Linked DNA regions of Canis lupus familiaris. The protein of the gene in region 1 interacts with the protein of each later gene in a pairwise test. Links are inferred from orthologs where the notes say so. Each region holds a gene or a part of one and is shown in the gene's direction. Other genes may lie near its edges. The genes, in order: PIAS1, MX1, ATXN1, SMAD4 and HTT.

Region 1 (4,235 bases):
TTTGAAATTCTTTCTTAGCCTTCACTTCCTGGTTGCAACTAACATGTTTAGCAGCCAATGTTGGAATCTTAGGCCTTTTTGGGGTCTTTCCTGAGATGCATCTTGTCTCAGGCATGTTACATGGCCTTCTAAATGCCCCTGTGTTCATGAGCACTTTTCATTTTGAATGACCTAAATTCCCAGTATACTTCTCTCCTTAGCTTTTACTCCCAGGCTTTAGGTGGTCTATTTAGGTACCAATGGTAACCTTCGTCCCCAGGCAGTTGCAGGTTGTTTATTTACCTTACAGTATTTTCAGGCAATGTCTGCCGCTTTTCTGCTGGTTAAGCAAAAGAGAGATAAGCCTTGCGTTAGTCCTTCAGCTGGCTTCCAGGAAGATTAGAACAGATGAAAACAATGATTTCCAGGGACTAGAGCTCCATCCTAGGAAGGTGGGCTGCGGTGGCCAAGTCATAGATAGAGTAGGGCAGGGATAAATGAAAGTATCATAAAGTTTTCTTGCCATTTTTAAGTTGTCTTATTTTATTTTACTTTATTTTTTGGATTGAACATTTACTTGGTTGACTGTTTTCCAGAATTCTGACAAAGTTGGTCTGACAGTTGCTGGTTATTTTTTAAAGTTTCCATGGAGGTATGGGGGTTTAGAGCTGTCAGTTCTGCCATTTTGATGATATCCCTCTCCTCACAATTTTGATACATTGTATCTTCAATATTTATATACATGTATACTTTTTAGATATTCATATTCATATATACATATATATATGAAAAAATGTGTACTTTTGTATTGAAGTAATTATAGATTCACAGGAGATTGCAAAGAAATGTATAGGGAAGTCACATGCATCCTTTCCCCAGTCTCCCTGGAAGTTAATATTTTGTGGAACTAAAGTGTAATATCAAAACCATGAAATTGACATTGGTAGGAACCACCCTTTCCCCCCATCCCTAATTCCTTGACAACCACTAGTCTATTCTCTATCTCTGTATTTATGTTATTTCATTAATGTTACATAATAGACATCCTTTTGGGATTATTATTTTTTCAATCAGTATAATTTCCATGAAGTTTATCCAAGTTGTTGTGTGTTTTTGTTTTTGTTTTTAAATTGCTAAGTAGTATTCCATAAGATACCTGTATTGCAGTTTGTTTAGCCATTTACCCATTAAAGGAGATTTGGATAGTTTCTGGTTTGGGATTCTTATAAAGCTGCTATGAACATTCTTTTTTTTTTAATTTTTATTTATTTATGATAGTCACAGAGAGAGAGAGCGAGAGAGGCAGAGACATAGGCAGAGGGAGAAGCAGGCTCCATGCACTGGGAGCCCGACGTGGGATTCGATCCCGGGTCTCCAGGATCGCGCCCTGGGCCAAAGACAGGCGCCAAACCGCTGCACCACCCAAGGATCCCTGCTATGAACATTCTTGTACAATTCCCTTCATGGAAAGAAGTTTTTGTTTCTCCGGGATAAATGTCCAAGAGTTGTTGGGTTGTATGGTGAGTACCTTTTCAGTTTTCAAAGAACGGCCAAACTCTTTTCCAAAATGGCTATACCATTCCTACCACAAACTTGTGTGTGATCCCTATCTAAGAAAGCTACTTCTCACTCAAGGTTATAGAGACTTACCCCAAAGAGTTTTAAAGTTTTAACTCATATTTAGGTCTATGATTAATTCGAAGTTAATTTTTACATGTTGGTGGGACAATCATTTTAGGGCCCACAAAAATGTTTTAAATCCTTAAAATCAGAAGAAAAAAATAAGCATACTCTGCTTGGATTGCATTAGTCTTTACCAATACAAATGTAAAATGTAGTTTTAAAAATATATATATTAAAGAAACTCTGAGGTTCTGACACTAAATCTTTCCATACCAATTCTTCTAACACCAACTAAATATCCAATAATTCAGTTTTGACATCAACTCCAGGGATAAGTTGAGATCCCACAGGTTAAGGGCTCAGTTCCACAAGACTGCTCCTACTTCAGATACCAGTTGCCAGTCTCATGGGCCACTTGAACTTCTGACCTACCAAATTTGAGAATTCCTATAATTTCTGCTCAGTTTTGATTATCTATTAGAATGGACTCACAAAACTCAGGAAAACATTTTACTTACATTTACCACTTTATTATTATTATTATCATTATTATTTTAAAATATTTTATTTATTCATTTCAGACAGAGAGAGAACATGAGCAGGGGGAGAGACAGATGGAGAAGGAGAAGAAGGTTCCCCACTGAGCAGGGAGCCCAATACAGGACTCGATCCCAGGACCTTGAGATCATGACCTGAGCCAAAGGCAGATGCTTAATCATCTGAGCTACCCAGGTGCCCCCTACCAGTTTAATATATAGGAAATAACTCAGGAACAGCTAAGTGAAAGAGATTCATAGGGTAATGCATGAAGGGCGGGAATGCAGAGCTTCTCTGCTCTCTCTTGGCGCCCATTTCCTAGTACTTCCATGTATCTACTAACCTCCCTCTAATCACTTTAGTCTTTCTTTCTTTCTTTTTTTTTTTTTTTTGATTTTATTTATTTGAGAGAGAACATGAGCAGGGGGGAGGGGTAGAAGGAGAGGGAGAAGCAGACTCCCCACTGAGCAGGGAGCCTCATGTGAGATTTGATTCTAAGACTCTCAGATCATAACCTGAGCTGAAGGCAGATGCTTAACCGACTGAGCCACCCAGGTGCCCAATGTTTAGTCTTTCCAGTGACCAGCTCCCATCCATTTTTTTTTTTTTTTTTAAGATTTATTTAGTTATTGCAGTTCTGCTGTGAGGTCATTTTAGATAATACAGAATTGACAGGTGGTTTTGGAAACAGAGATTATTAATAATCTTGATAAGTGATCTCGATGAGAGAAGTCAAGGCTGGATCGGAGTGGGCTGAGAAGGGAATGTGGTAGGAGAAGGGAATGAGGAAAGGAGAACAATCACTGTTGGGAGATCTTGAAAAACCTGAGAATTTATGCACTGAAGAGGGAGAAATAGGGCAGTTCTGGAGGAGATTTTGGAGTCAAGGGAGGTTTGTTTTAGATGGGAGGAATTTCAGTATGTTTGTATCCTGATAGAAGTAATCTAATAGGGGAAAAAGTTATGATGCTGGAGGGCGAGGTGATTGTAGGAGTAAAGTTTTTAGGAATGTGGGAGGGAAAGGAATCCAGGTCACTGGTAGAGGGACTGGCATTCATAGGCGCAAGGACACTTCATTCATAGTAACCCAAATGTTACTATGTCTGTAATAATAGTTTTGATGGTGAGAAGATAAGGGAGTTCATGGCTGTTATATCTTTTAATTTTTTTCCATGAGGAATGAAGCAAAAATTGAGAGCAAAGAGTGGAGGTTGGGAAGCTTTCAGTAGCGAGGAAAAGGTGTGAAATAATTCATCACATCTGCTCAAACGTCAAAATATTGGAGAAAGCCCTCCCGGTATCAAGCACATCTCCTTCCAACCGCTTTTTTCTCCCTGGACCTTTTTAGCTCTTTTCCGGTACTCCTCACCATTTGTAATTGTATCTTTTATCGGTGCACTTGTCTGTTCCTCCAGTAGAGAGCTACATACAGGAGGGCGGGGACTCTTTTTTTTTTTTTTTTTTAAATTTCCCCGATGTATTCACAAAGAAACAGGACTGGTACATAATCAGTGAATCATCACTCGTTGAAACAGAGTTAAATGAACGAACGTCTATGAAATTTTGTCTCCGGGTCACCGCTGTCAAAGTGTTTGGGCCACTCACTTTTCCCCTTCCCTGAGCTCTCATTTCTGACTACGTAGGATGCCACGGGGATTGTAACGTCTCCTCTGCCCACCTCACCGCGCCGTCATGAGGAACATCTGAGCTAAGAAATCTGGAAATGCTTCATCCAGCGATCTGCAAACGTAACGGATTATTTTTAGCGCACGCGTGGCCTCACAGGTAGCAGGTGCTGAAAAGGACTCGCTGGCTGCGCCGGGGGGGAGGGGGGAGGCGGAGGAGGGGGGAGGCGAGGGGGCCGTTATGGTTTCTGGGACTGCAGGCATCCAAGCTTTGCAAGAAGGGTTCTGCAGGCCACGGAGAGGCGGGGCTCTGGCCCGCACCCCCCCCGCCCCCCCGCTCCGGCTTTCCCCGGAGGCGCTAGCCCGGCGAGGATGGGGGGCGGGGAGGTCCAGGGGGGAGTAACTGTCAAACCTCCTCGCTTGGCGCCTTTATTTAAATGGTACGTGCGGGTCTCGCTGCTGTACGTGCCC
Region 2 (3,513 bases), on another chromosome or scaffold:
ATGTCCTCTGGTGCTGAAGCTGAAGAAGCTCATAAATGAGGATGAGTGGAGAGGCAAAGTCAGTTACCAGGATACTGAGATGGAGATTTCAGACCCTTCAGAGGTGGAAGTGGAAATCAATAAAGGTGAGTGCCCCATGTTTGTTTGTCATCACCTGCTTGGATGTCTGGTCACCTGTGTGAAGTGGGAGGAGGTCCATCTGTCCTTCTTCCTACCTTCCCTTTCTGGGCTGGTCTTCCTCTCACCCTGTGAGCCAGGCCCTGGCTCCCTCATAGCTTCTCTTCTTTGACCCTCATTATGACCAGCACCTTGGACAGGATCTGATCTCAGCAATTTATTGCTTAGTTTGTAAGTAAGTATCTGGAGGTAATGTGAATTTTAAAATTTAAACAAGGAGGAGCTGTCCTTTATTCAAGGGCTTTCCCCCTCCACAGATCTGATGGAGGAAGAATCGGTTTGTGGGGCTGGGAAACCTCTTTCCCATTCACGTAGGAATTCACCTGGTTGAAAGGCATTCTGGAACACTCCTGAACCCTCTTTAGAAGCTTTCCTGGGGCCCTTTCCGCCAAGAGTGAAATGCATGTGTGTGCATAATCCTAGCTTGGGCTGACTTACGATAGGTCTCAGTGAATGCAAGCCACGCAGGTCACGCTGCCAACTTGAAGCATCTGAAAGGGGAAATAGCACTTGAAGTAGGGAAGGACCAGTAGTGACCCCATTGGCTGCTGCTGAGACTGAGGAGAATAAATAAGCTTTTCAATCATTTGAGGAGGGTTCAAAAGTAGCATAACATTAATATTGAGCAGCAGAAAAGGAGTTTGACTTTTATGAAGTAGAAGCCCTAAGTCGTATTTACAGACTGTTTTTTACAAAAGTTAAGGGATGTTTTATAGTCAAAACGCTATTGTGTGATTGTTGGGGTCAGGTTAGCTCCTAAGGCAGAAAATTCAAAACCACTGTGTATACTTAATTGTCCCTTTCTGTGTAACAAACTGATCTCAAAACCCAATGGCTTGGAACTGTTCATTACTCGTGATTCAGAGGATCAGCTGGCTTGCTGGGTCCAGCAGTCCAAGATGGCTTTGGTCACATACCCAAGCCCGGGGCTGCAATGACCAGGCCTTCTCTCCATGTGGTGGCCATCCTCTTCCAGGAGGCCAAGTTGGGCTCTTTAGATGGTGGTAGAGGGCTTCCCAGCAACAAGGGGGGAGAAGCCCCATGCACAAGTTCTCAATCTCTATTGCAATCCATTCTGTGATGTCCTGTCAGCCAAAGGGGGTCACATGGGCAAGCCCAATGTCAAGGGACAGACTGTCTGAATGGGAGAAGGTCACCCTGTAGAGGAGCATGCAGACAGTGATGGAAGGGACTGTTGAGGCCATTTGTGCAAGTGGGCTGCTAACACGGTGGTTTAAACAATGTGCCCATTTTATTTCTCTCTCATGTAGATGTCTGGAGGTGGGCAGACCAGAGCTGGTTTGAGGGTTCCAGCGTCAGGAACCAGACTCCCATGTTGTTTCTCGTTGTGTGTGGCCGTCACTCCCAAAGCCACATAATTATTCAGAATTCCCTTGTCCCAGCCAGCTGGACACCAGCACAGGGCTTTTCCTGCCTGTTCAGGAGAGTTTATGGAGGTTGCCTGTGCCTTTGTCACATTTATCTCATGGGCCAAACTTAATCTCACAACCACATATCTGGTAAATGGAAATTGGAGGCACAGTTATCAGATAATGACACACATGCCATTGCTGTCACTCTCATCCCAAGGTCTTGAGTGTATAAAACAAGCCAAAAAGGCATTCTGGTTGTAGAAAGAAGTCAAATGGTAGCAGCTAACAATTTGACAAAATCCATGTATATCTTGAAATTTTCATCATTAAGGAGGAAGAAGTAAAATGAAATCCCATAATGGAATACCAGTGCTCATCTTCCTTGAAATAACCACATTCCCCTCCATACCTTTCCAGATCATGTTTCAAGAGTCCCTGTGTGTTTTTATTTGCTTTCATTTTACCTTGTTGGTAATTTCCTAATGACATCAATGGGAAGATTTAGGTGTGACAGCAGGAAGAACTCAGGTCTGCCCAGCTCTGAACTGGTACAGGTGGGGGTGATCTTGAGGGATGTTTTCACTAGGTCTCTCTGCATATGGTTCTGCCCATTGGCAAAGAAAATACTGAGTTGTGCTTTGAGGTTCCTTTTAGCTCCAGAAAAGTACATCTGTTCCAGATATGCCTTGTCCAGGACTCATGGCAGGGAAGTTTTGCTGTAGGGCTGTAGGGAGATGCTTCCACTATAAGCTCTGTTGAGTTTCTCTCATTTCCCCCTTCCCTAGCCCAGGATGCCATTGCCGGGGAAGGACAGGGGATCAGTCATGAGCTAATCAGCCTGGAGGTCAGCTCTCCTCATGTCCCGGATCTGACCCTGATAGACCTCCCTGGCATCACCAGGGTGGCTGTGGGCAATCAGCCAGCTGACATCGGACGCCAGGTAAAACCTTGGTCTGGGAGGGTTGCGGAGTGGTGCCCCAGACAGCAGTGGGTTCAGGGCTGAGCCAGGATAGTGAATCTCAGGAGGTGTGAAGTGGATGGGGAGAGCGTGGTGGTCTCTGTGGCCTCTACCAAGTCAGATGGAGGCACTCTGGGGAGTGTGAGACCAACAGGCAAGACTGGAAATCCATTTTACACACGTTCGCGTTTTACCCCGTGACTCGTTTTTGGTTATAGTTACATTTTGTGGTGTATCTAGACCAATGTGTATTAGGAAGGGGTTTTATGTGGGGAGAGAAAGCATTAGAAACAAGTATAATGATATTTTCGTATTGGCGAATGTCACCCAATAGATGAAATAAAGATTTAGGGCACAGTTGAGCGCTTTTTTGAGTTTTATTTTTCCCCGTGGTTATCAGCTGTGGAGTCTTAGAAGGCAGTTACTGGGCTAAGATCTGGTGGTTTCCCAGAGCTCTGGACCCCAGAGCTCTGTTTTTGCCACGGGGAAACTTGGATTCTTGTAACCCAGGCATGAGTTTTAAGTGCCACCAGGATTTGCCGTGGGCTCATTTCTTTTGGGGAGATACTCCTGGGACTCTGAGGTCCCAAAGCAAGTGCAAGGTCAGGCCCTGTCCCTGCTCTCATATGCTCTTATTTTTCCGCAGACCAAGCAACTCATTAGGAAGTACATCCTTAAGCAGGAGACGATCAACTTGGTGGTGGTCCCCTGCAACGTGGACATTGCCACCACGGAGGCACTGAGCATGGCTCAGGAGGTGGACCCTGATGGAGACAGGACCATAGGTAAGAAGAAGGAAGAACCTAGACGCCATAGGTGGTCTTCACTTTGCAGCAGCCTCAGCCAATGATGCCGCTGGTCCTGGCCGGACTTGTGCTTCTCCGAGGGTGGGCCACGCGCCACCTGCTGCAGGAATAACTGCAGAATGTTTAGAAATTCAAGTGCCTCGACCCCGCCAACCCTCCTGTGTCAGACTCTACGGGGCAGGGCCCTGCATCCTAAGAC
Region 3 (4,029 bases), on another chromosome or scaffold:
CGCGCTGAGCTCCCTCCAGCACGGATGTCACTGCGCTTCCTCCAGGTGCCACACCTGTTGGCAAGGTGCACCCCTCGACAGCAGGCTCCTCGCCACCCAGCTAACACCTGGCGGCGGCACGCGCGGAGGGGGCGGGGCGGTGGGCCGCGGGGACCCGCGCCGGGGGGCCGAGCGCGGAGGAAGTTCCCCAGCGTGGATCCCCGAGAACTGCCATTTGACGTTCGGTTTGCTTTCTGTGTCTCCTGCACCGGTTACCTCATTTCCGATTAAATTAATGATCCGAATGAGCCGCGAGAGCAGCGCGCGGGTCGTCTTCCGAGGCTGGGGCTGGGCGCTACCGAGCGGATTTCCAGACCTGCAGAAAGCGAAACGGGGTGGGGGGTGGGGGGTGGGGGGGTGGGGGTGGGAGGAGGGGGCACCCGCTCCGGCAGGCGGGAAAGGTGACGGTGCCCATGCGGGCGCGGGGACCCTGCAAACTTTCCCGAGTCGCACGCAGAGGCAATCCCCGCAGCCCCGCGGGCCCGGTTCAGGGGCTGAAGCCGCCGCGCGGCGATCCGAGTCTGCCCCCTTAGACGATTCTCGGCGCGCCCCGGACCCAGGGCACGTCGGGATCACCCTCGCGCCCCCTCCCCTCCGCCTGCGGGCCGGAGCCCGACACCCCCCGGAGCGCCCTGCAGGCCGCCGCGAGCTGCACCCCGCCGTCCTCGCCCCGTCCCCCTCCAACTAGGTGCAGGGACCCGGGGAGGCGCGCGAGGACCGACCGGTCACCGCTGAAATTACCTCATCGCTTCAGCTCCCCGCCCCTTTCCCAAACCTGGAAGAAGCGTCCCTCCGGCCGGAGGCGCCCCCCCCGCCCCCCGCTCGCCAGCCGGTCGCCGGCCGCGCGCCGCCTCCCGGGGCCGCCTCCCCGGGCCGCGCGCAGCCAAGGGTTAAGGGCGCCGGCCGGGCCGTCCGCCGCGCCGTGCGCTCGCGCTGCTCCGAGCCGCCCGCCGCCCGCCGCGGGGCCCCCCCCGCCACCCCCCCACCCCCCACCCCCAAGTCGGATCCTTGAGCTGCGGCGGCGGCAGCCAACTGCTCCATATTTGGCTTCTATTACACATTTACATACTGGAGCGAGCGAGCGAGCGAGCGAGCGCGAGAGAGCGCGAGGGAGGGAGGGCGGGCGGGCGGAGGGAGGAGGGAGGGGAGGGGAGCGGGGGGGTCGGAGGAGGAGGAGGGCGAGGAGGAGGAGGAGGAGGACGAGGAGGAGGAGGAGGAGGACGGGGAGGAGGAGGAGGAGGAGAGAGCAGAGTGTACCGCAGACATCATTTCTACTACAGTGGCGGAGCCGTACAGGACCTGTTTCACTGCAGGGGGATCACAAAACAAGCCCCGCGGAGCAGCCGCCAGAGCTACAGCAGCCGCAAGACACTGTTTCTCTCCCTCTGCCCCCCCTTCCCCACGCAACCCCAGATCCATTTACACTTTACAGTAAGTGGCTATTTTTTTCTCCTCTGATTCTCTCCTCCCCCTCCCCCATCCCCTTCGCCCCTTATCTAGATTAAAATTGGCCCCTACCCCCGCTCTCCAGAGAGGGGCAAAAGCAACAACCAGCAAACAAACCCCAAACCCCAGTCGCCGGCACAGAAAACAGCTGGAAGAGGAGCGAAGGAAATCGACGCGTCGTGCTGTGTCGTGTGTGTGTGTGTGTGTGTGTGTGTGTGTGTACATACCGCCTTCTCCCGCTCCAGCCTCCCGGGCCGACACCCCCGCTCGGGGCGCAGGGACTGACGGCAGGGGGGCTGCCGGGCCGGTGGGCGCCCGCCCGGCGAGGGGGCGCGCCCGGGCTGGGGGTGCGGGAGCGGGAGCGGGAGCGGGCGGGGGAGCGGCGGGGCTGCCGGGCCGGCCGCGAGTGCGGAGACCCGCGTCCCCCTCCCTGGAGGCGGCGGCGGCGGCGGCGGCGGCGGCCGGGGGTCGCGCTGCCCTCTCGCCCGCCGCCCCCTGCGCAGCCCGGGCCCCCGGGAGGGCGGCGGAGCCAGTGGGTCCGGAGGGGGGCCGGGCCTCCCCCCCGCCCCCCGCGAGGGCCGCCCGGCCCCTGAGCCCGGGGCGGGGGGTCCCCCGCGGAGGCCGGCCTCGCCCGGCGTGTGGCTGCGGCCCGGGACTCTGCGCGCGGCCGGGCGCCGGGCGGTGGGAGCGCGGGGGGCGCGGAGGGGTGGGCGCGGGGGGAGCCGACGTGCGGGTGCCGGGAGCGCGGCTGGAGCGGCGGCGGCGGCGGCCCTGCCGCCTCCTCCTCCTCCTCCTCCTCCTCCGCCGCCGCCGCCGCCGCCGCCGCCGCCGCCGCCGCCACCGCCGCCCTGTTGGTGCGGCCGCTTCCTGATCATGTGCAGCCGCCGCCGCCCGGAGCCCGGAGCCCGCGAGCGCCCCAGCCCGGGCCGGCGCCCCCGCCAGCGCCCGCGGCGGCAGCGGAGGAGCGGCGCCGGGAGTGAGCGGCTGCGCGGCGGCTGGGAGGGTGAATGAAGCCAGGAGGAGGGGAAGGAGGAGGCGGCGGCGGCGGAGGAGGCGCTGCGGGGATTGGGATGCGCCCTGGAGCCCCGCTGCTCGCTCACTCTGGGCCGGGCCGGAGACTCCGCCACTCCCGCGGCCGCCGCCTCCTACGTGGTTCCAGCGCCGCGAGCAGGCCGGTCCCGCCGGGGGCAGGGAAGGGGCCGGCCGGGCGGAGCGAGAGGTGAGGCGGCGGCGTGAGTGTGAGTGAGTGCGTGCGTGTGTGAGTGCGTGTGCGCGCGCGTGTGTGTGTGTGTGTGTGTGTGTGCGCGCGCGCGGGTGGGGGCGCCGGGGCGGGCGCGGGGGGCAGCGGCCCCTCGCCGGCCACTTGGCTGACTCCGCGGCGCCCCGACCCCTCCCCGGCCCCCCGCCCTCCCGCCGCCTTCCGAAACTCCGGGGCTTGTGCTTTCATTTTATTTCAGACCACGTAGGGGGCTGCCTGGAAGCGGTGCAACAATTCAGGTTTTCTAGGGAGACCGAGCAAAAGGACCTTCGTGGGGGGTGGAAGTAGGGTGGTGGTGGAGATCTTGCCAGAACACAGCAGCAGCAGCAGCAACAACAACAAAAAAAATCAGTTTCCAGGGACCGTGGGGTTCGGTTCAACCCTGTGGCTGCTCTGTGTTGTTGTGCTTTCTTAGTATATAATCCTGCAGATAAGAGGGTAATATAAATACTTCGGGAGATTGGGAAATTGCTGAAGAGTAGTAAGGGGGAAAAAAAAAAAAAAGCCAGTCGGAAGCTGGTTATATAATGCGCGATGTGGCTAACGAGAACGGCAAGCTATTTTTATTTTGTTTACCGTATGCTGTGCAGTAAGGGACTCCTCCAAACTGGTTCTGTCCCCGAAGAGATTCGTAGCTTCCCTGCGAGATCCGCAGGATACGATCAGTAGAATTAGACGACCCCCTTGCACCCGCAGAATAAAAACTACCGCCTTAGAGTGGCAGGCTCCCTGCGTGTCCCTTGGTGCAGGCACGGGAATGTGTATATGCAAATAAGCTCTCCTTTGGCAATCGAGTAGTCACATCTCAATGACATTTGTGTTTTGTAATGCAGGCTGCTCTTAATATTTAAACATTGTCGGTACATATCGCACAGAGCAGTGGGTAGTTACTTGATGGTTATTTTTAGGCAGAGCCAGTTACTTTTTCAATAGTGTTAGTTAGCTAAGCCATTTCTGTTTGGGTTTCTGAGGAGCCCTGCTGTTCGTTCCTAGAAGCCCCTGTGAGCCCACCCTGTGGTTTATTTGTAGTTTGATACTTGGACTTTTTTTTTTTTTTTTTTTTTTTTTTTTGGTGGAGTGAAGCCTGTGCCTGAGGAAACCAGCACCAAAGAGAAGGTTGAGAAAATCCTGCACATGAACTCTTAGAAAGGGATTGCACCATAACAGCTAATGCTGTGGCATTTAATCTCCTCTGATTGTCCTCCAAGTGTGCGTGCCTCAGTCAATATTTTAGCAGCTCCACAGACGAACAGGCTTGGAAGCCACCTTCCATGGACAGCAGAGGG
Region 4 (3,513 bases), on another chromosome or scaffold:
CTGTGTCTCTGCCTCTCTCTCTCTCTCTCTCTCTCTGTCTCTCTGTGTGTGTGTCTCATGAATAAATAAATAAAATCTTTTAAAAAATCTATAAGTGATCATTTATATTTCTTAGGTGGCTGGTCGGAAAGGATTTCCTCATGTGATCTATGCTCGTCTCTGGAGGTGGCCTGATCTTCATAAAAATGAACTCAAACATGTTAAATATTGTCAGTATGCATTTGACTTAAAATGTGATAGTGTCTGTGTGAATCCATATCACTATGAACGAGTTGTATCACCTGGAATTGGTAAGTAGACTTTGCTTTTATCTTCAGATGCATGAAGGGAAAAGTTCTTGATACTGTTTTAATTTTTCTATGCCAAATTATAAATTTGGATAGAGCCAGGACTTCAGCTAAGGTTAAGAATCAGATATTTTTAATGAAATATAAATATTTAAATTTAAACTTTAGAATAGACTTGTATTTTGACTGCTAAAACTAAGTATACACTATAGTTCATGTTCTGCTCATCTAGAATATTGGTTTTGAAAAATAAGGTGGAAGGCATTATAGAATTGAATAGTTTATGTATCGTCAGATAGCATTTACACTACTACTCTTGAGTTGAAATGGTTTGTGAAGTGTTGAATCTCTGGGTTAAATTTATACTTTGTAATTTTAAATACAGTGGAAAATATTTTCATGGTAATGATTAATGTTTCATTTTCTTTTCCCTTTTAAAAAATTAAGATCTCTCAGGATTAACACTGCAGAGTAATGGTAGGTAATCTGTTTCTTGTAACTTTCTCTGTCTTCTTTATCCTGTTCCCTCTATTTTTTATTGACCTAAAATTAGTTTGTATGGATGCTGGTAATATTTACAAGAAAAATACTTACTGCTTTGGAAATCCAGTTCTTTGGGAGCACACATCAGTATTTAAAACTGAATTTAAATAGCCTGGTGGTTTGTTGAACTACCATTTATGCACTGGAGTGACCTAAAAAATATGATAGGGGAATATAAAACATATGAAGAAAGAATATTTTTTGAATTGATAAAAACTGATCATTTTGGAAGAAAATCTTACAGAGCCAATTTAAATGAATATAAATACCTATAATGTTTGGTAATTTGGAGTCATATATAGCATGTCCTTTAAGAAATACTAATATTCTAATTTTTCTTTGTTTTTCCCTATTTTTTATGAATGATAATTTTAAGCATGATTTAAAACTACATATGTTAATATTTTTTTCTTGTTACATTTTTGAGTAAATGAAACAAGGCTACTTTAACTTTCATAGATTATCTAATTCTCTTTTAAAAGAGCATGTTTTGAGGTAGGGAAATGAAATCAATGAGGGGTGGTGTTTTTTAGTGTAATATTTGAGAACAGAGATCTGTTGAAACTTTAGTTTTATTACTTAGAATATGAACTAAAATTTTTGTAAGCAGTTAATTTGAAGAGAAACTCTGATAAAGAACCACCATTATCTTAGAAAGATGTGCAGTTGTTCTGGAGGAACAGTGGGTTGGTACTTGTTGCAGAATCTTAGAGGTGGGTCAGAAATACATCTAACCTTAAACAAAATTTTGGAAGAGCTTGAAAGTCTACTTGTTTTTATAGTTCACCTTTCTTCCATGTCGCTATAATAGAGGAAGACTCCAGTCCCTTTTGGTACTTGTTACTGGTTAGTAGGTTTCTGAAAACATGGATTGGTAATGTGGTAGTGGTCTGGAAGGGTAGCTCTAAGATTGGTTTAAGTCTTGCCTCTTTACTACAATTTACATTAATATTAGTCTTCTTTTTTCTTTGAAAGTAAATACCCTTCAGATCTTCACCATTCTCCACCCATGCTTTTGGAGAATTAAAGTATTTAGCTCAGCAGGGGTTAAGGATTGGGGGACTCTAGTGATATCTATATCAGAATCTCCTTAGTGGGAGTGGTTGTGAGGAGATCCAGTTTTGAAGACTCATTACACTCCCCCCTTATCCTAACATGTTGCTGTTATGAGTAGCTATCTTTGGTCATCTTTGGTCAGATTGTGTGTGGGGGTGATAGGCTCTTTTTAGTAGCTCTAAGGGTTGTTTTAGCCTTGCACATCCCCCTAGTGGTGGTTTGTAAAGGCCAGTTTCAGTGGCTTATTTCCTTAAAAAACAACAGGTGTTTTCCACATCCCCATCTAGATTTGGACAGAGTAATAATATAAAGCCAGGTAAAGAAAAAGTTAAGAAAATGGGATAACTCCTTCACTTTTGAGTTGGAATCTTAGGGTAATCATTTCCAGCCTATTTCATATCTTCTGTGAAGCTTTCCATGACCACATCAGTCTGCATATTCATTTTAAGAGATGTTTAGTGAGCATGTATTGCTTGGTACTGTGTTAGGATCTAGGGACGATAGGATAAGTAAGGTGTGTTTTCTCCACACTAGGTAGCTAATAGTTTAGTGGAGGAAAGACAAAGTAAATAAGACAGCAATAGCATCAGACGAGTGCTGTGCTCTGCCTGCTGGTGGGGATAAGAACACTGACTTGGGGTGAGTCCAGTGGCTTCAGCTTTTCTGTCCCTTATACATTTCTTACCCCTCATAAAATATTTTACAGTTATATGTATGACTGCTGTAAAAGTATGGTTAAAGCATAACAGCTGATACTTGATAAGTACAGACTTTTTGTCCAGAACTGAGCTGTACGAGTTACAAGTATTGCTTCATTGTTCTCGTTATACTCCCACATGGAAGGTGGCATTATCTACGCTTGATGAGATGAAGATCATGATAGACAGGAGGAGCTGGAGTAATGTGTCCTCGATATTAGATATTTAAACAATAAAAAAATATTGGAAAAAAATATTGTAGTATAAGTTCCATGAAAGAAATTTTTCTTTTCTTTATTCATGTGTCCCAGGTACTAGAACAGTACTCAATAAATATTTATTCAGTGAATAAATTTGTTGAATGCTAGTCCATAAAGAGAAATAGCTAATAGTTTGGTGTCTGTTATTCTGGACTTAAAAAATATATACTATATGTTTTTTTAATTTTATTTTTTTGAATAGGCAATACATGGTCCATAAATCAAAATACTATAAAAAGGTATACAGTGAAAAGAAGTGCTCCCACCCCTGCCCCCATTCCCCCCTACCTCAGGTAATCACTTTTATTAGTTTCTGGTGTTTCCTTCCAGGGTTTCTTTATGCAAAAAAAACATGTATTATTTCCCTCTTTTTCTTACATTAAAAGCATATTGTGCACTTGTTCTGGACCTTGCTTTTTTAATTACAGAATGTGATTTTTTAAACATGCATGTGATCATAGTGTACAATGGTGTTTTGTAACCAACTTTTTTTCTCTTGGCAAAAATATTCTGCAGATATCTATCCTTGATACCTATAGTTTTACCTAAGGGACATGTTTTAAGTTATTTGATTGAAGACACTTGCAGTCGGTAGAACTCTCAGACTTACATTGGGGAAGGTTTATTCAGTGTATTAGGCGAGAGAAGGTTATGAGGCGTAGCTCTTTA
Region 5 (4,111 bases), on another chromosome or scaffold:
GATCATACGAAGGCATGGATATCATGAATATCAGGAAGGGGTCACCTGGCTGTCTTAATGTCTGCAGACCACAGCACCCGACACTTGGAGCCTGGCCGCTGTGGCCTGCCATGCCTGAGACCTGGTACACACCTCATTATTAACTTCAGGGAACTAGGCCCTCCAGGCTGGGGGCACATTCTCTGATGTCCTTTCCCTGAAGGGGGGGGGGTCCTGTCGTTCTCCCCTCAGGGGCAATGCTTCTGTGGTGCCGCTGGGCTTCCCTTTATCTGACCACTTGGGACAACTGACTGGCGGTGAGAGAAGGTGGAGTTGTGGCCTGTGGGCAGAGTGGGATCGGGAGGGTTCATAGTGCATGCATCAACCCCCGTCCCTTCTCCCCTCCCCAGGCAACTCTCTCTGGGGCCAACCCACTCCCTGCCAGGCAGGGTGCCCCCTGATGCGCCACCGCCCTCTGTGGTCCTCTGCTGGCTCACTTCCTCGCCTCCAAGGAGTGGGGCTCTGGAGCCCAGGACCCTTCTCAGAGCCTACCCACCCTAAGCAGGAGGTGCCCTGCAGACCTCTGTGGAGCAAGGGTCTTCTCCTCCAAGCGAACCCGTTAGGGTTGGGCCATCATTGCTATGCGTGGCGCCTCTGGGGTCTAAGTGGCTGCTCGTGGCACCAGCCACAGACTCTGCGGGCTGCAGGCACTGACCCGGCAGGTTTCTACCGGGTGCCTGTCCTAGGCCCTCCCCTCCCCTCCCCGCCTCGCCGTGCCTCACCCCCCGCCCTGTCACCTCTGCCCCGCCCCCTGCCCCCCCCCCATCCTCTGCCTGGCGCGCCCAGCCGTTCCCGCCCCAGGTGCCTCACCGCCGCGCCCCCTGCCACGCCCGCCCTCTTTGTCCCGCCCCCCGCCCGCCCCCGTCCTCTCTGCCCCGCCTCACTGCCCGCCCCCACCCTGCACCCTGTGCTTTGCCCCGCCTCCCACCCTGCGCCCTACCTCCTCCGCTCCGCCCCTCCCGCCGCAGGTGCTTCCCCGCCGCGTCCCCTGCCTCGTCCGCCCTCTTTGCCCCGCCCCGGCCCCGCCCCCATCCTCCGCCCCGCCGGGCCCCGCCCCGCCCCCACCGGAAAGTGGGGCTGTGATCTCAGCCGCGCGGCGGTGCTGGGAGCCGAGCGGGCGGGCGCGGGAGGGGCAGGCGGCGCTTAGGCCGGCGCTTAGGCCGGCCATTGGCAGAGGTCTCCGCCCCGGGCTGTCAATCCCGCCGCCCTGGCCCCGCCCCGCCGGCGCAGCGTCGAGAGACGCACGGCCGCGGGGGCTGCCGGGACGGGTCCAAGATGGCCGGGCTCCTTGGTTCCGCTCATGTCCGCGGCCTCGAGCCCCATTCATTGCCGCGTTGCTGAGCGCCGCCGCCGGTCGGCTCGAGGGCTCGGGGGGCTGTCCCCGCGGGACGGGAGGCCGCCATGGCGACCCTGGAAAAGCTGATGAAGGCCTTCGAGTCCCTCAAGTCCTTCCAGCAGCAGCAGCAACAGCAGCAGCAGCAGCCTCCGCCGCCGCCACCTCCTCAGCCTCCTCAGCCGCTGCCGCAGGCGCAGCCGCCGCTACCGCAGCCGCCCCCGCCGCCCCCGCCCCCGCCGCCCCCGGGCCCGGCGGTGGCCGAAGAGCCGCTGCACCGACCGTGAGTACCGCCTCGCGGCAGTTCCGGCCCCGCGACGGCGGGGGGCTGCGGCGCCCCTGCAGACCCCGGCCCCGCGGCTCCCCGAACCCCGGGCGCGCACCGCCGCCCGTCCTGCGGCCAGACCCGGCCCCGGGGGTGTCTGCGCCCCTCGGCAGGCGGACTCGGGCTCGCCGGCCGCCCCCGAGGGCACCGAGGCGGGCACGGCCTCGGCCCCCCGCCTTTCCCGGCGTGCGAAGTTAGGGGAGGAACTTGCTGCTTTGTATCTGCACGAAACGGGCTGTGCTGTGGGCAGAACTTGGATAGCCGAGGCCGCCGCTTCCCTTCCCCCTGGGCGTCCCTGAGAGGAAGGAGCGCGGGCGCCGGACACCCCGCCGCGAGCCGGGCTTGGGAGCGAGCGCGGGGGGTGGGGCGGGGGGAGAGCGGTGACATCATGCCTTCAGGCCGCGGGGGCGGGGAGGGCGCGGGAGTGCGGCCCCGGCGCCGCGGGGCTCTTCTCTGCGCCTCGAGGCTGCCTTCCCGCATCCTCCCGAGGCGTGTCCGCTGGCATCAGGAGGAGATCCGCTCGCGTGTCTAAGCTCAAGCTGGTTTGCAGACCCAAGGAAGTGGTGAGCTGCTTAGAAGGTCATTATTAGGAAGAGTCGCCTGAAGTTTATTGCCTGTGTTCACTTGGCAATAAAAACAACCCGTTGCCGAGAGGGAGGTTCAGCGCTGGGGGAGGAATGATGTGCATTACACCAGCTCGGAGTTCGGCTTGCCTGCGGTCCCTGTGGGTGGCTCCTGTTTCCTTCGCTGGAGACGCCTGCGTGCTACTGTTTGGAAGCTAGGGGTCTCTGCTGCTCGTGCCTGGAGACCGCTCCTGCCGGCGGAACCCAGGTACTTTCCCCGGGCTCCGTGAGCTCGGGAGTGCGGGAGTGCTCGGCGGCGGTCCGGGCCTCTCTCCCCCGGCGTCTGGGTTTGCCATCTGGATGCGTGGTGGCATTTAATGAGGACAGTTTCCAAGGGGCAGCCCCTTTATAATGTCACGTTCAATTTTAGTAGTGTTTTTTTATTCTTTGTGTTTCTGACGTGGTCCTTGCCATGTCTTGAGAGTTCAATTAGAAAATGACTTGGGGAGTGATGTTGACTTGGCTGTTAGGATAGACTTTAGAAGTAAATTAATTTTTCTTCTAAGAGGTGAAAAACCTGTTTGGATGCTTCGAGAAAAAAAATACTTAAAAAATAATTTGAGTTCTTTCTACATCAGGTAATTTATCATCATAATTCATCCCAGACTTTTATTGGACTGCCTCTCTCTAGGAGGTAGATGTCATGGAAGTTCACACATTGCATGGGTCTTGTATAACAGGAAGCGTTAAGGAGGGAGGGCTTTGGGTGGGAAGGGAGACCTTACTGCTGTCACTGTAGGCTTGTTCAAATACTTGGTCAGTCTAAAAATGTGCCATCTGTTTCTTACACTGATTTGACAGAATCTGAATTTGTTTATCTTCAAAATATGGGTATAAAGTAGGTTTTTTTTTTTTCTAAAACTGCCCTTGCAAAAGTAGATAGATGTTGTTTTATTACCCTATTTTAAGGTCATATGTGATTGACTTATTTAAAAAGCGTAATTTATTATTTTCATGTAAATAGTACACTCCCATGATGCAAATTCTTGAATTACAAAAATATAATAATTAAAATGTCTCTCTTCCGTCTGTTTCTCCTGAGTACCTAACTGTGTTCCCAGAGGCAAGCTCTCTTAAACTTCTTCCTTCTGTACCCTTACAGATAGAACCCATGGATACATGAAGAGAGATTTCGAGTTATTTAAAATAGAAATATTTCAGAGTAGTAACTTTTAAAGCTTCCTAGCATGCTCTGAAATCAACTACATTGATGGGCCTAATAGTAGTTATTTTAAATAAAATACATAAATATCATATTTGTAGGCACTTTGCTGTTGAGAAAGTAGAAATTTATGAATTTTGAGTAACAGACTCTGCTTACAAGTTTGGATCCTGGCATTTCTGTTCAGGTGCTTCAGCTGAAAAATCCATTCCCCAAAGCAGGATTGTCCAAAAATGATTTAGAAAGTATCTGTTCTATTTTTATGGTTCTCTTCTGTTGTGTGGAGCTGTAGTGTCACAGCCATGCGTGGGCTTTAGTGCCTGCTTGCTGCTCAGCATGTAGGATGCAGGGATGCTGGGGTTGTGGGAGGGGACCGGCTAGAATCTCAGCAGGGCTGGCATGCAGGGGAGTGCCAGAGGTGGGGACGGTCCTAACTCTATTATGAGATAGTTGACATTTGTGTTTAGTGCTTTTCTTACTGTCCTTCAGATTCCCACCTGGTTTCCACCTGACTTTAGTTATTCATCCATCGATAAATATTTACTGAGCATCTAATGTATGCCTCTGTGCTAATAGTTGCAGGGCTGCAGCAATCAACAGATAAAGCTCTGCCCTTGTGGAGGTTTCAT

Evidence for each region.
Region 2: the proteins of PIAS1 (region 1) and MX1 interact in a two-hybrid assay, tested with the Homo sapiens proteins (2 studies listed by BioGRID). The link is inferred for Canis lupus familiaris from reciprocal best matches to the Homo sapiens genes PIAS1 and MX1.
Region 3: the proteins of PIAS1 (region 1) and ATXN1 interact in binary tests that used the Homo sapiens proteins (3 or more experiments, as listed by UniProt). The link is inferred for Canis lupus familiaris from reciprocal best matches to the Homo sapiens genes PIAS1 and ATXN1.
Region 4: the proteins of PIAS1 (region 1) and SMAD4 interact in a two-hybrid assay, tested with the Homo sapiens proteins (2 studies listed by BioGRID and IntAct). The link is inferred for Canis lupus familiaris from reciprocal best matches to the Homo sapiens genes PIAS1 and SMAD4.
Region 5: the proteins of PIAS1 (region 1) and HTT interact in binary tests that used the Homo sapiens proteins (3 or more experiments, as listed by UniProt). The link is inferred for Canis lupus familiaris from reciprocal best matches to the Homo sapiens genes PIAS1 and HTT.

Annotation. Positions count from the first base shown.
Region 1 is NC_049251.1:32,546,718-32,550,952, forward strand, and holds the start of PIAS1 (E3 SUMO-protein ligase PIAS1), read left to right. Parts: upstream 1-1,427; 5' UTR 1,428-1,442; coding exon 1,443-1,499; intron 1,500-2,735; exon of another isoform or gene 2,736-3,879; intron 3,880-4,235. UniProt on the Homo sapiens protein: Functions as an E3-type small ubiquitin-like modifier (SUMO) ligase, stabilizing the interaction between UBE2I and the substrate, and as a SUMO-tethering factor. Catalyzes sumoylation of various proteins, such as CEBPB, MRE11, MTA1, PTK2 and PML.
Region 2 is NC_049252.1:35,797,774-35,801,286, forward strand, and holds part of MX1 (interferon-induced GTP-binding protein Mx1), read left to right. Parts: coding exon 1-125; intron 126-2,335; coding exon 2,336-2,490; intron 2,491-3,154; coding exon 3,155-3,293; intron 3,294-3,513.
Region 3 is NC_049256.1:17,160,939-17,164,967, reverse strand, and holds the start of ATXN1 (ataxin-1), read left to right. Parts: upstream 1-1,229; 5' UTR 1,230-1,470; intron 1,471-2,445; exon of another isoform or gene 2,446-2,704; intron 2,705-4,029. UniProt on the Homo sapiens protein: Chromatin-binding factor that repress Notch signaling in the absence of Notch intracellular domain by acting as a CBF1 corepressor. Binds to the HEY promoter and might assist, along with NCOR2, RBPJ-mediated repression. Binds RNA in vitro.
Region 4 is NC_049222.1:24,020,631-24,024,143, reverse strand, and holds part of SMAD4 (mothers against decapentaplegic homolog 4), read left to right. Parts: intron 1-115; coding exon 116-290; intron 291-734; coding exon 735-764; intron 765-3,513. UniProt on the Homo sapiens protein: In muscle physiology, plays a central role in the balance between atrophy and hypertrophy. When recruited by MSTN, promotes atrophy response via phosphorylated SMAD2/4.
Region 5 is NC_049224.1:61,750,079-61,754,189, reverse strand, and holds the start of HTT (huntingtin), read left to right. Parts: upstream 1-1,301; 5' UTR 1,302-1,440; coding exon 1,441-1,655; intron 1,656-4,111.